Coturnix japonica: one gene and its partner. The protein of the gene in region 1 interacts with the protein of each later gene in a biochemical or structural test. Links are inferred from orthologs where the notes say so. Each region holds a gene or a part of one and is shown in the gene's direction. Other genes may lie near its edges.

The links.
Region 2: the proteins of CDC27 (region 1) and PTTG1 form a complex in vitro, tested with the Homo sapiens proteins (3 studies listed by BioGRID). The link is inferred for Coturnix japonica from reciprocal best matches to the Homo sapiens genes CDC27 and PTTG1.

What each region holds. Positions count from the first base shown.
Region 1 is NC_029542.1:2,284,406-2,288,872, forward strand, and holds the start of CDC27 (cell division cycle protein 27 homolog), read left to right. Parts: upstream 1-1,458; 5' UTR 1,459-1,689; coding exon 1,690-1,716; intron 1,717-4,467. UniProt on the Homo sapiens protein: Component of the anaphase promoting complex/cyclosome (APC/C), a cell cycle-regulated E3 ubiquitin ligase that controls progression through mitosis and the G1 phase of the cell cycle.
Region 2 is NC_029528.1:9,901,445-9,905,970, reverse strand, and holds PTTG1 (securin), read left to right. Parts: upstream 1-1,619; 5' UTR 1,620-1,739; intron 1,740-1,982; 5' UTR 1,983-2,003; coding exon 2,004-2,085; intron 2,086-2,367; coding exon 2,368-2,543; intron 2,544-2,886; coding exon 2,887-2,980; intron 2,981-3,440; coding exon 3,441-3,590; intron 3,591-3,922; coding exon 3,923-4,002; 3' UTR 4,003-4,073; downstream 4,074-4,526. Other genes in the region: pre-mRNA-splicing factor SLU7, read right to left, coding at 110-190, 901-1,054, 1,200-1,363. UniProt on the Homo sapiens protein: Regulatory protein, which plays a central role in chromosome stability, in the p53/TP53 pathway, and DNA repair. Probably acts by blocking the action of key proteins.

The sequences.
Region 1 (4,467 bases):
GCTCTGTCTCTCCAAGGCAATAAGTAGATTCAGACAGAGGCAGGTTGGAATGATGTGTACAGGAGCAGCACATACCTCTATTCTGCACTGCTGTACTCCTCTGTGCTCCCTGCATTGAGCTCGGGGTGCTGAGGGGTGGCTTCAGTCCCATTTACACAGAGCATCCACTGACCTCATCCATAGAACTGCATGGCTACAGCAGATGGAGATGTCCCAGGACAAGAGTTCAGGCTGTTGCCCTTTCACAGTTCAAACACTTCACTGGAAGCCCAAGAAGTAAGAAAAATAACCTCCCACTTTAGGGAGAGCCTGTTGCTGTATCTCCTCAGCCTGAGATAAGGCAGAGGTTCATACCAAAGATGGCCTGGGTGTCAGGAGAAGCCTGTGTGCAACAGGGAGCAGACGGAGCTTCCACCCCAGGAGCTTCATCACGCAGAGGGGCAGAGATTGGGGTGAGGATGATGATAACAGAGCGGGCTCTGATGCACACACACTCACGTCTGCACATTCCACCATCACTTATGGGAAGGTTCTGCTGCTCCTGGGGCAAAACGGCTCAGCAGTTGGATCCTTATGGGTCCCTTCCAACATGGGGTTTTCTATGATGCTGTGAAAGCAACCCGGTTGGGAGCCAGGTGTCCATCATTGCCATTCATTGGTGGTGAATCCAGATGGCGGCTGCTCAGCGGTTGTGTTCCACAGGGGTCGGTGCTGGCTCTGTCCTGCTCAGTCCCTTCATTTCTGACCTGGATGGGGGCATTGGAACAGGAACAGGCTGTGGATGCCCCATCCCTGCAGGCATTCAAGGCCAGGCTGGATGTGGCTCTGGGCAGCCTGGGCTGCTGGTTGGTGACCCTGCACATAGCAGGGGGGTGGAAATGGATGAGCACTGTGGTCCTTTGTCACAGGGACACCAGGTTTTCCACAGAGGCAAGGAAAGCTCTCCACAATCAAAGCTCCAACCTTTAAAACCTGACCCCCACACCCCCCCCCCAAAAAAAAAAAAAAAAACCCCAAAAAACCCGCTGAGCTCCAGTTAATGATCTGTGGGTCGTTAAAAAACGACTTTTTATGGTTTTATGGCAGATAAATGGATGGATTTACCACAGAGATGTGGGCCAGCGCCCTCTGTGCTCTGTGGGGGGGAACCAGGCCCCTCACCCACCACCGAGGGACGCTGAGGCTTCTTGAGTAACCCTGAAGTCCCATTTTTTGCTTAAAAAACAAAAACAAAAAGCAGTTTGTTATTATTTCGTGTTGGTACAAAGCTGTTTTCAGGCCCCCAAGCGGCCTCCAACCCCCAGATCCTGAGGGGCAACACCGCCTGCCCCGCCTCAGCGCTCGGCTCTTTCCGTCCGCACTCGGGTGTTTCCGCCAGCTGAGTCGCTTCCGTTCGGCAGCCGAGAGGGCTGTTTTCCGTCAGCGTTCGGCTCTTTCCGCCCACCTCTTCGGGTGTTTCCGGCAGTGGGTTCGGCTATTTCCGCCGGTTGCTTCGGGCGGACTCGGCTCTTGGCCCACCTCGTTCCTTCCCTCCCCGCCGCCCGCCCCGGTAACGGTCGCTGCGAGTTTAAATGAGCGGGGGCCGGGCCGCACCGCGCCGCCGCCGGGACACGCAGTGAGGCGGGGCCGGGGCCGCCCCGCTCCGGGTTTGGCGAGGAGGAGGAGCAGGAGGAGGCCGAGGGGAGCAGGATGACGGTGCTACAGGAACCCGTCCAGGTACCGACCCCCAGGCGGACGGGCTCGGGCTGCCGCCGCGCTCAGGCCCCGAGGCCCGGTCCCGGCCTAGCTCGGAGCGGCGCCGCCCGCTCTATAGGGCCATGTCTGTAGGCCGATAAGGGCCCTGTCCGCTCGGGGGCTGCTCTCGGTGTCCGTTCCTCGGTAGCTGGGCCCTGTGGCAGCTCTATGGCCCCTCCCGTGGGCTCTCAGCAGCCCCCTGCGCCTCGCAGACCAACCCCTCACCCCCCTGATCCCTCCCGGTCTCCCCGTCGCTGTGCAGGCAGCACAAGGCCGCTCTGCTCCCCGCAGCTCCCCGGGGAGACCTGTTGAACCGTCCCGCTCACCTCTTTGCTGTTGTCTCGTTTCGATACGTGCTCGGTTCCCTACGTGTTGTGCCGGTGTGAAGGACGTGCCTTGTTCCCTGTGGATGTGTCTCAGAGTTTGTATCTCTGCTCTGGGAGAGAAAACAACATAATTGTGTTTTTCTACCTTCATGTCCTACCTTGATGGGCTTCCTGCTCGTTCTCAATCATCCCATTGCAAAGATATGATTTACAGGATAAGAGCTGCCTGTTTCTTCCTACCTTTCCCCTTATGTGCATCACTCTAATTGTGTGATTTTCTGCTAATCCCATTCATGTTCTCTTTTTAGCTTCTCAGTGTATTTATTCTCCTTGTTACGTTTGGAGCTGTAGGCATCTTGGTGCTACAGAAATGCTTGGTGAACAGTCTGGCTTTGATTCTTTCTTTAAGGAAAAGAGGATGAGGAAGGAAGGACTTCTCCTGTGGAAGACCACCACCCTGCTGGCCTGACCTTGTGTGAGATGGTGGCAGCCACAGTGCTCGCATAGAGCAGGGCCTTGTGTTTGTGATGCTGCTGTTCTGTTCCTCTGAGTGTGGGACGATGTGTTGGTAGGAATGAGTTTTCTGTTGGGTCTTCAGTGGTGTTACCCGTGCACTGCTGCAACCTTTGTATTTGTGATGCTATTTTAGCAGCTGGGTCTTCTAGGAAAACATGGGGTTGTGTTAGAAAAGGGAGCAAGAATGCATTTCAAAGGGAATGACAGGAAACAATACTTAATGTTTCCACTACTCTGCTAATTAGACTAAGCTAGAAGAAAGTATTTGCTGTTCTAAAAGTTCCCTGGTAGAAATGCATGATAAAGACCTGTCTAATACTGTTCTCAAGCTTTTATCTGCTTGTGAGTTTTGGTAGGGTTTTGCTATAGTGAATGTCCCTATTTAGACTCTTCACATGCCAAATAACTCTTTAGTTAGTAATTCTGCTGCTGTTCCCTGCTTACAGCAATGCTGATAAGTTTAGGATTTGTTACTTGTTGTGGCCTTGGCTGGACTGTTGGTTTTTAAGGTAGAAAAGTTGCCAGTGCAGCCATCCAGATTAAGGCTGGCATTTGGTCCTGCCTGGATCTGCTGTTACAGGGCACAGCTGGGAGCTCTGTGCTGCAGAAGCTTTCTGTATCAGCTCACTCTTCTTTTTGCCCTGACACCGTGTCTCCAATCATCAGACTCCATTTTGCAGTACACAGCTTGAATGAAGTTAAACTGTGCTTTTGAGTTCCTCTTCTAGCTGGACTCTGTGCATTTATCTCTGATTTTCTATTTATTTGTGCTTTTTTTTTATAGTATGCATGAAATAAGCAGACATTACTTTTCACTTTGTAACTGCAGAGATGTTCTGTTTGTCATTTCATCACCAGCTCCTACAAGGCTGATATTCCAAACTCATCTTTGTAGGCAAGATACACAAAGTCTGACAGATAAATGCTGGAAATCTCTGCTTCTATGTTGCCTTAAAAGTGTAATCTTTTAATTATCTAATAAGTTATGTCCTAAAAGACATCAAGATGACCGGTTAGATTTCTTCTGGCTCATTAAATGTCACAACCTCTGGTGCTTTGACTCATTTTATGTAGACAACAGAGCACTGTTGTACTTCTTGACGTGGTCAGCTTAAAACTCTTCAGCTCAGATGTAAGGCCTTGTATCTTGTGTACATTTGGGTGCCTTCCAAATAGCTCTGAAAAACATCATGGAAATAAAGTGAAGGCTTTCCTTGGAGTTCAGCTTTTCAAGGTGATCATCTGCCGTGACCCACATGAATGATGCTTGAACTCCAAGGCTGCTGCCATGGCTGGAAGCATCCAGTACCACTACGTGTCTGATTACTTACCAGAGCCTCTATAGCTAGCAAATATAGTGGAGTCTGTCACTGGAAACTCTCTTCCCCTCTCCTCACCTTGAACAAATGTTAAAATGTGCTATAAGTGATTGCTTAGCATGTCACTACATTATTAAGCTTGAGAAGTAATTCCCAAGGCTGTGTAACTGTCAGAAGTGTGGGCTTATCCTTTGAGATTTGGGGGTTAGATATGAAGTGATGCTTGGATGGTGCCCAGGATCTTCTAGGTTGAGAATAGACATGTGTGAATTGGCTTTTATTTGCTTGCTTTTGACTCTGAGGATGCTTTGCCATAGAGCTGTAGCTGGTGTGGTAGTTTTGGGATTCCCTGTTTGCTCTGCATTTACAAATGGATGTGTGTATTCAGGAGGCTGGATGATGAGAGCCTGGACACTTAACCTCTTCTGGAAGCATGGTAAAACTCTGCAGCACATGAAGCTTCTCTCCTGTCTGTATTTGTTTGCTGCTCAGAGAGCGGACATGACAGCTACAGTGCATCAGCTGCTTATCATACACTCAAGGAGATGACTGCTTTGGGTCCTGGTGGGTGC
Region 2 (4,526 bases), on another chromosome or scaffold:
TGTATTTCAAAATAACTAAGTAACTGTTGTTTTACCTATAGGGTAGGCGTTTTTCACTAAATTCACGTTTACTTCTGAACCATTAAAATATCAACAGTGTCAAGCTTACCTCCATACAGTCCTTCTTTTTGTGTGTCAGTGCACCACAGTTCTCACAAGCTCCTTTCCGGTATCGGGTAGCTATAGAGTGCTAAACAACAAAAGAAGACAGCGTTAAACATTAAACAAACACATGCTAAGATTCATCTGTGTATTTCTCCCAGCTGACTTATTTACTTTTCTAACACAACTAAAGCACACATGCTCCAACCAAACTCAAAAGGCCATTTAGGTGACTACCAAACACTGGGTAATGAATCATAGAATCATAGTATCACCAAGGTTGGAAAAGACCTAAAAGATCATCCAGTCCAACCGTTCACCTATTACTAATAGCTCCCACTAAACCATGTCCCTCAACACAACATCTTCCCTTGAACACTCCCAGGGTCGGTGATTCCACCACCTCCCTGGGCAGTGCATTCCAGTGCCTGACCACCCTTCCTGAGAAGTAATACTTCCAAATGTCCAGCCTGAATCTCCCCTGCTGTAGCTTGAAACTATTCCCTCTGGTCCTATCACTAATGACACGAGAGAAGAGGCCGACCCCCAGCTCACTACAACCTCCCAACATAACTCAGGAAGTTATGGAGAGCAATGAGGTCCCCCCTGAGCCTCCTCTTCTCCAGGCTGAACATACCCAGCTCCTTCAGCCTCTCCTCATCTGCTTGCTGTGTACAAATTTCCAGTTCCTGTCACCCTCCAAAGCATATAACCAGATCTTGCAGGGTGTCACTGACTTATATCTTATTGCATAGGAATAATTAAAAGCTTTGTTTTAGGACAAAAGCATCCCCATACCTCTTTCACTCCCCGTTTGTACCAGTCTCCTGAGGAGCTGTACTGCTTCTGCTTCTCTGGCTGAGGCCTCTGATGCTTTAGCGTAGGTCTTTTGGAAGGATCTATGTACCACGGGACCGAAGATATGTACTGAGGAATGTGAGGGTTGATATCTCTGTAAAAGGAGATATGAAATTAATACACGGCACAGGAAAAACCACCGCACAATTTAGCTTAATTAACCTCATGTTAAGCTCAGCTTCACAACTCTGTAACCACATAAGCCTACTTTACAAACCGAGCTGTGTTACAGAACTTACTTTCCTTCCTCATCCACCTCAGCAGGCGCGTTCCCCAGCTTCCTCTGCTCCTCCAGCTCCTTCTTTTTCCTCCAATCCTCCCTCGTCATCTTCTTCGGCTCCTCCATACTCACATCTCCCGGCCCTCCCGAAGGAGCCGCGTTTACCGCCGTCCCAGACGCCATTTTACTTCCTCCTAAAACACTAAAAAACCGCACGCGTTCCGAACCGAACCGATCCCACGAGCCTCCCCCCGGTTACCCCTCATAGCCCAGAGCCTCCACCCAGCCATACCGGGCACAACGACCACCCAACACCCCAGCAAAGCCCACCCGGTCCCGCACCTCCACTCCCTGTTTACCAACTAGGCCGCACCGAGACCCCGCCCCTTGACTGCCAGGGCAACGAGGAGCCGGAACTCGGTAGTCACCAATGGGGCGGCTGAGCGTTAATCGAAAGCGGCCTATGGGAGCAGCGGGGCGGGTGTAGAGGCTGGTTGTGCTTATCGCTATCCCTGCTCTTCTCCTCGCTCTGCTGCTCCCAAATCGGCTTTTCCCGCAGGTAAGTGTGCTGTTTTTCCTCCATGTTTTCTTTCTGGCCTGTTGAGCGATCCTTCTGCCCTAAAGAAGGGCGGGCCTGCGAGGCGTTGCTTGGCCGCCCAGTGCACGGTGCCGTGTTATCAACCGCCATATCTAATACTGGCCCTGTGCTCAGTCCAAGCTGCCATCATCATTCCTAGCATACATCAAAAACTTGCTGTTTCTATTAGCAAGAACTGCCAAGATCTTCTGTCTGCCTTTCCAGGGTGGTCTCATCAGCCCAGAGATGACGACGCTGATCTTTGTGGATAAGGAGGATGGTGAAGTTGGTGCTACTAAGAACCAGTTAAGACGCCCTTCGGTATCATGTGAGTATATGCTCCATGGAGACAGCGTGGGATGGAGTAAAGTGCGTGTCCTGGGTTTTGTTAATCACTGTTTTGAACAGGAACAACAAAATGGGTTAAGCAGATAAATAGTAAAACTAAGTTTATCAGCTATTACAAATATGAAAATCACCTGTCTTTTGAGCTTATACTTTTGATCTAGAAGTGGAGAACAACAATTAGCTTTCTAGCACACACACTTCATTAGAAGCAAGCTTTAGGGTTGACAAGGTGCTAAAGCTTGCTTTCCTTTCCTGTCTGCAGCAAAAGCCTTATCAGAAAGAACACAAGTCAATACTCCACTTCTAAAAAAAGCAATCAGAACTCCAGCCACATCTCACTCTGTCAGAAAGGCTCTTGGAAATGTGAACAGAACTGTAGGAGTTACAAGCAAGAAGGAACAGAAGAAAGATAAAAATCAGCCTTGCAGTGCAAAGAAAGTGAGTACAACCCTTCTGTAATGGATGGGAATCAGAGGAATGCATGATGTACCTACAACAGCTTAGGGAACACACAAGGGCAATGAAGTAACTCTAGACAAAATATTGGCTGTGTTACTGTCTTGTTCATATTCTATTTAGTGGGAGTTTATTGTTATGAGCCTAAATATCATACTGCAGAGATTTGTTGCCACTGTGTACCATCATACAAGTTCAACTGAAGCATTTTCCCTTTTGCAGCTTATTTGTATCAAAGGTGTTAAAATCCAGGTTTACAGGCACAGAAAGGGTACTACACTGAGAAAACACGACAGCACAAATAACTTGACTTCTTCATTTTAAGGTTGCTGAAAAGGCTGTTGGATTAGCAAGCTGGGATGGAGGGGGTGATGAAGCTTACCCAGAAATAGAAAACATGTTTCCTTTTGATCCTCAAGGTAAGAACTCTTGGGGTAATTATTAAAACCTAATTGGACTTTGATTAAGTGTTGATGCTGCAAGACTTCCACTGAGCTGTTGTGGTGACTAAGCTGGTATTACATTTCTCCAGAGTCCTTTCTTAAACATAAGGGCATTCAATATTTTGGAAGCATGACCTTGTTCTTGTTTGAGTGTTTTAAATATACGTATTGCTTGATATAGTTGACACAGCATAGGGATTAGAAAAATTCCTTAAAACTCTTGCTTTATAATGACTGTTACATACACTTCAGATAAGCATTAGCATACAAAATTGCATGGACACTAATAAGTAACTGTAACTAAGCACTCCATAAGAAGGAACTGTTGGACTGAGTTGTCCTGGAACTACTCCCATTTCACTTAATCAAGGACAACTTGCAGCTTCACATGCTATTGTGCGCTGTTACTAAACTACAGCGTGTCTTTCCTAAACAGACTTTGAGAGTTTTGATGTTACTGAAGAGGATAAACTAAGTGATATCAAGCTGCGTGGTGTTCCTCTCATGATATTCCCAAGTACTTATGACAAACCTGTGGACCTAGCTTCTTCACCTATAAAGCTTGAAAAGATGCCATGGGAGTCTGGTAAGTGGAAAATTAGCCTGAGGTTCAGCGCATATTAGTGATTTAGGAAGGAAGTGAGTTTGTTGCAGTAGTGAACAACTATTGCTCTTGTAAGTGCAAGAGCAGGATGCTTATCTCAAAGAGCACTCTGTATGTAACTGAGCTGAATTTAACTGGTCATCTCTACTGGCATGGGTAGTGGTCTCGAAGCTGCACTGCCATGTAACTTTCTGTAATATATTTCTAACTCATCATAGCCATTCAAGAGGCTTATGCTAATCCACCAGCAGCCAGCTGGAGTGTAAACTTCTGGATTTTATGAGTAATTGATCTCCTCTATTTCTAACTTTCAGACTTGCTAGAACCACCTGCTGACTTCATCTCTACGCTGGATTACGTCATTGATATGCCGCCTATGGACTATGACTTCTAAAAAGCATACTCTGAAGTTTCTGTTGAATTTTATGTTTATAAATAAAGGTTACTTTAACTTGTGAAATAAAACTTACCTTGCTTTTTCTTTCAGTAGAGCTAATATGCTGCACACCCAAGATGTAGGCATTTTACTATCTGACAGGCTATTAAAACAAAACTTAGTCTTGCTTAAAAGCTCATCTATAATTCAGTGTTCTGAACTGTATCCAGATATTAATATATGAATCTTCAAGTCACAAGTATAGATTCAATTTCTTAGCACTGTTATTGTTCTAGTTCTTTTCAGTAATCATGGAAAACAAGTGAGGTTTAGAGGTGGCATTATTCATAGTTGCCTGCTGTTACCACAGTGGATAAAAGTTGGTTTGAGGTGCTTAATGAAAGCTGGAATATGGGGGCCCTCACTACAAGAAAGACAGGCCCTAGTGCACAGTCAGAGAAGGGCAACAAAGCTGTAGGTGGTCTGGAGCACAAGTTCTAAGAGGAGCAGCTGACGGAGCTGGGATTACTCACACTGGAAAA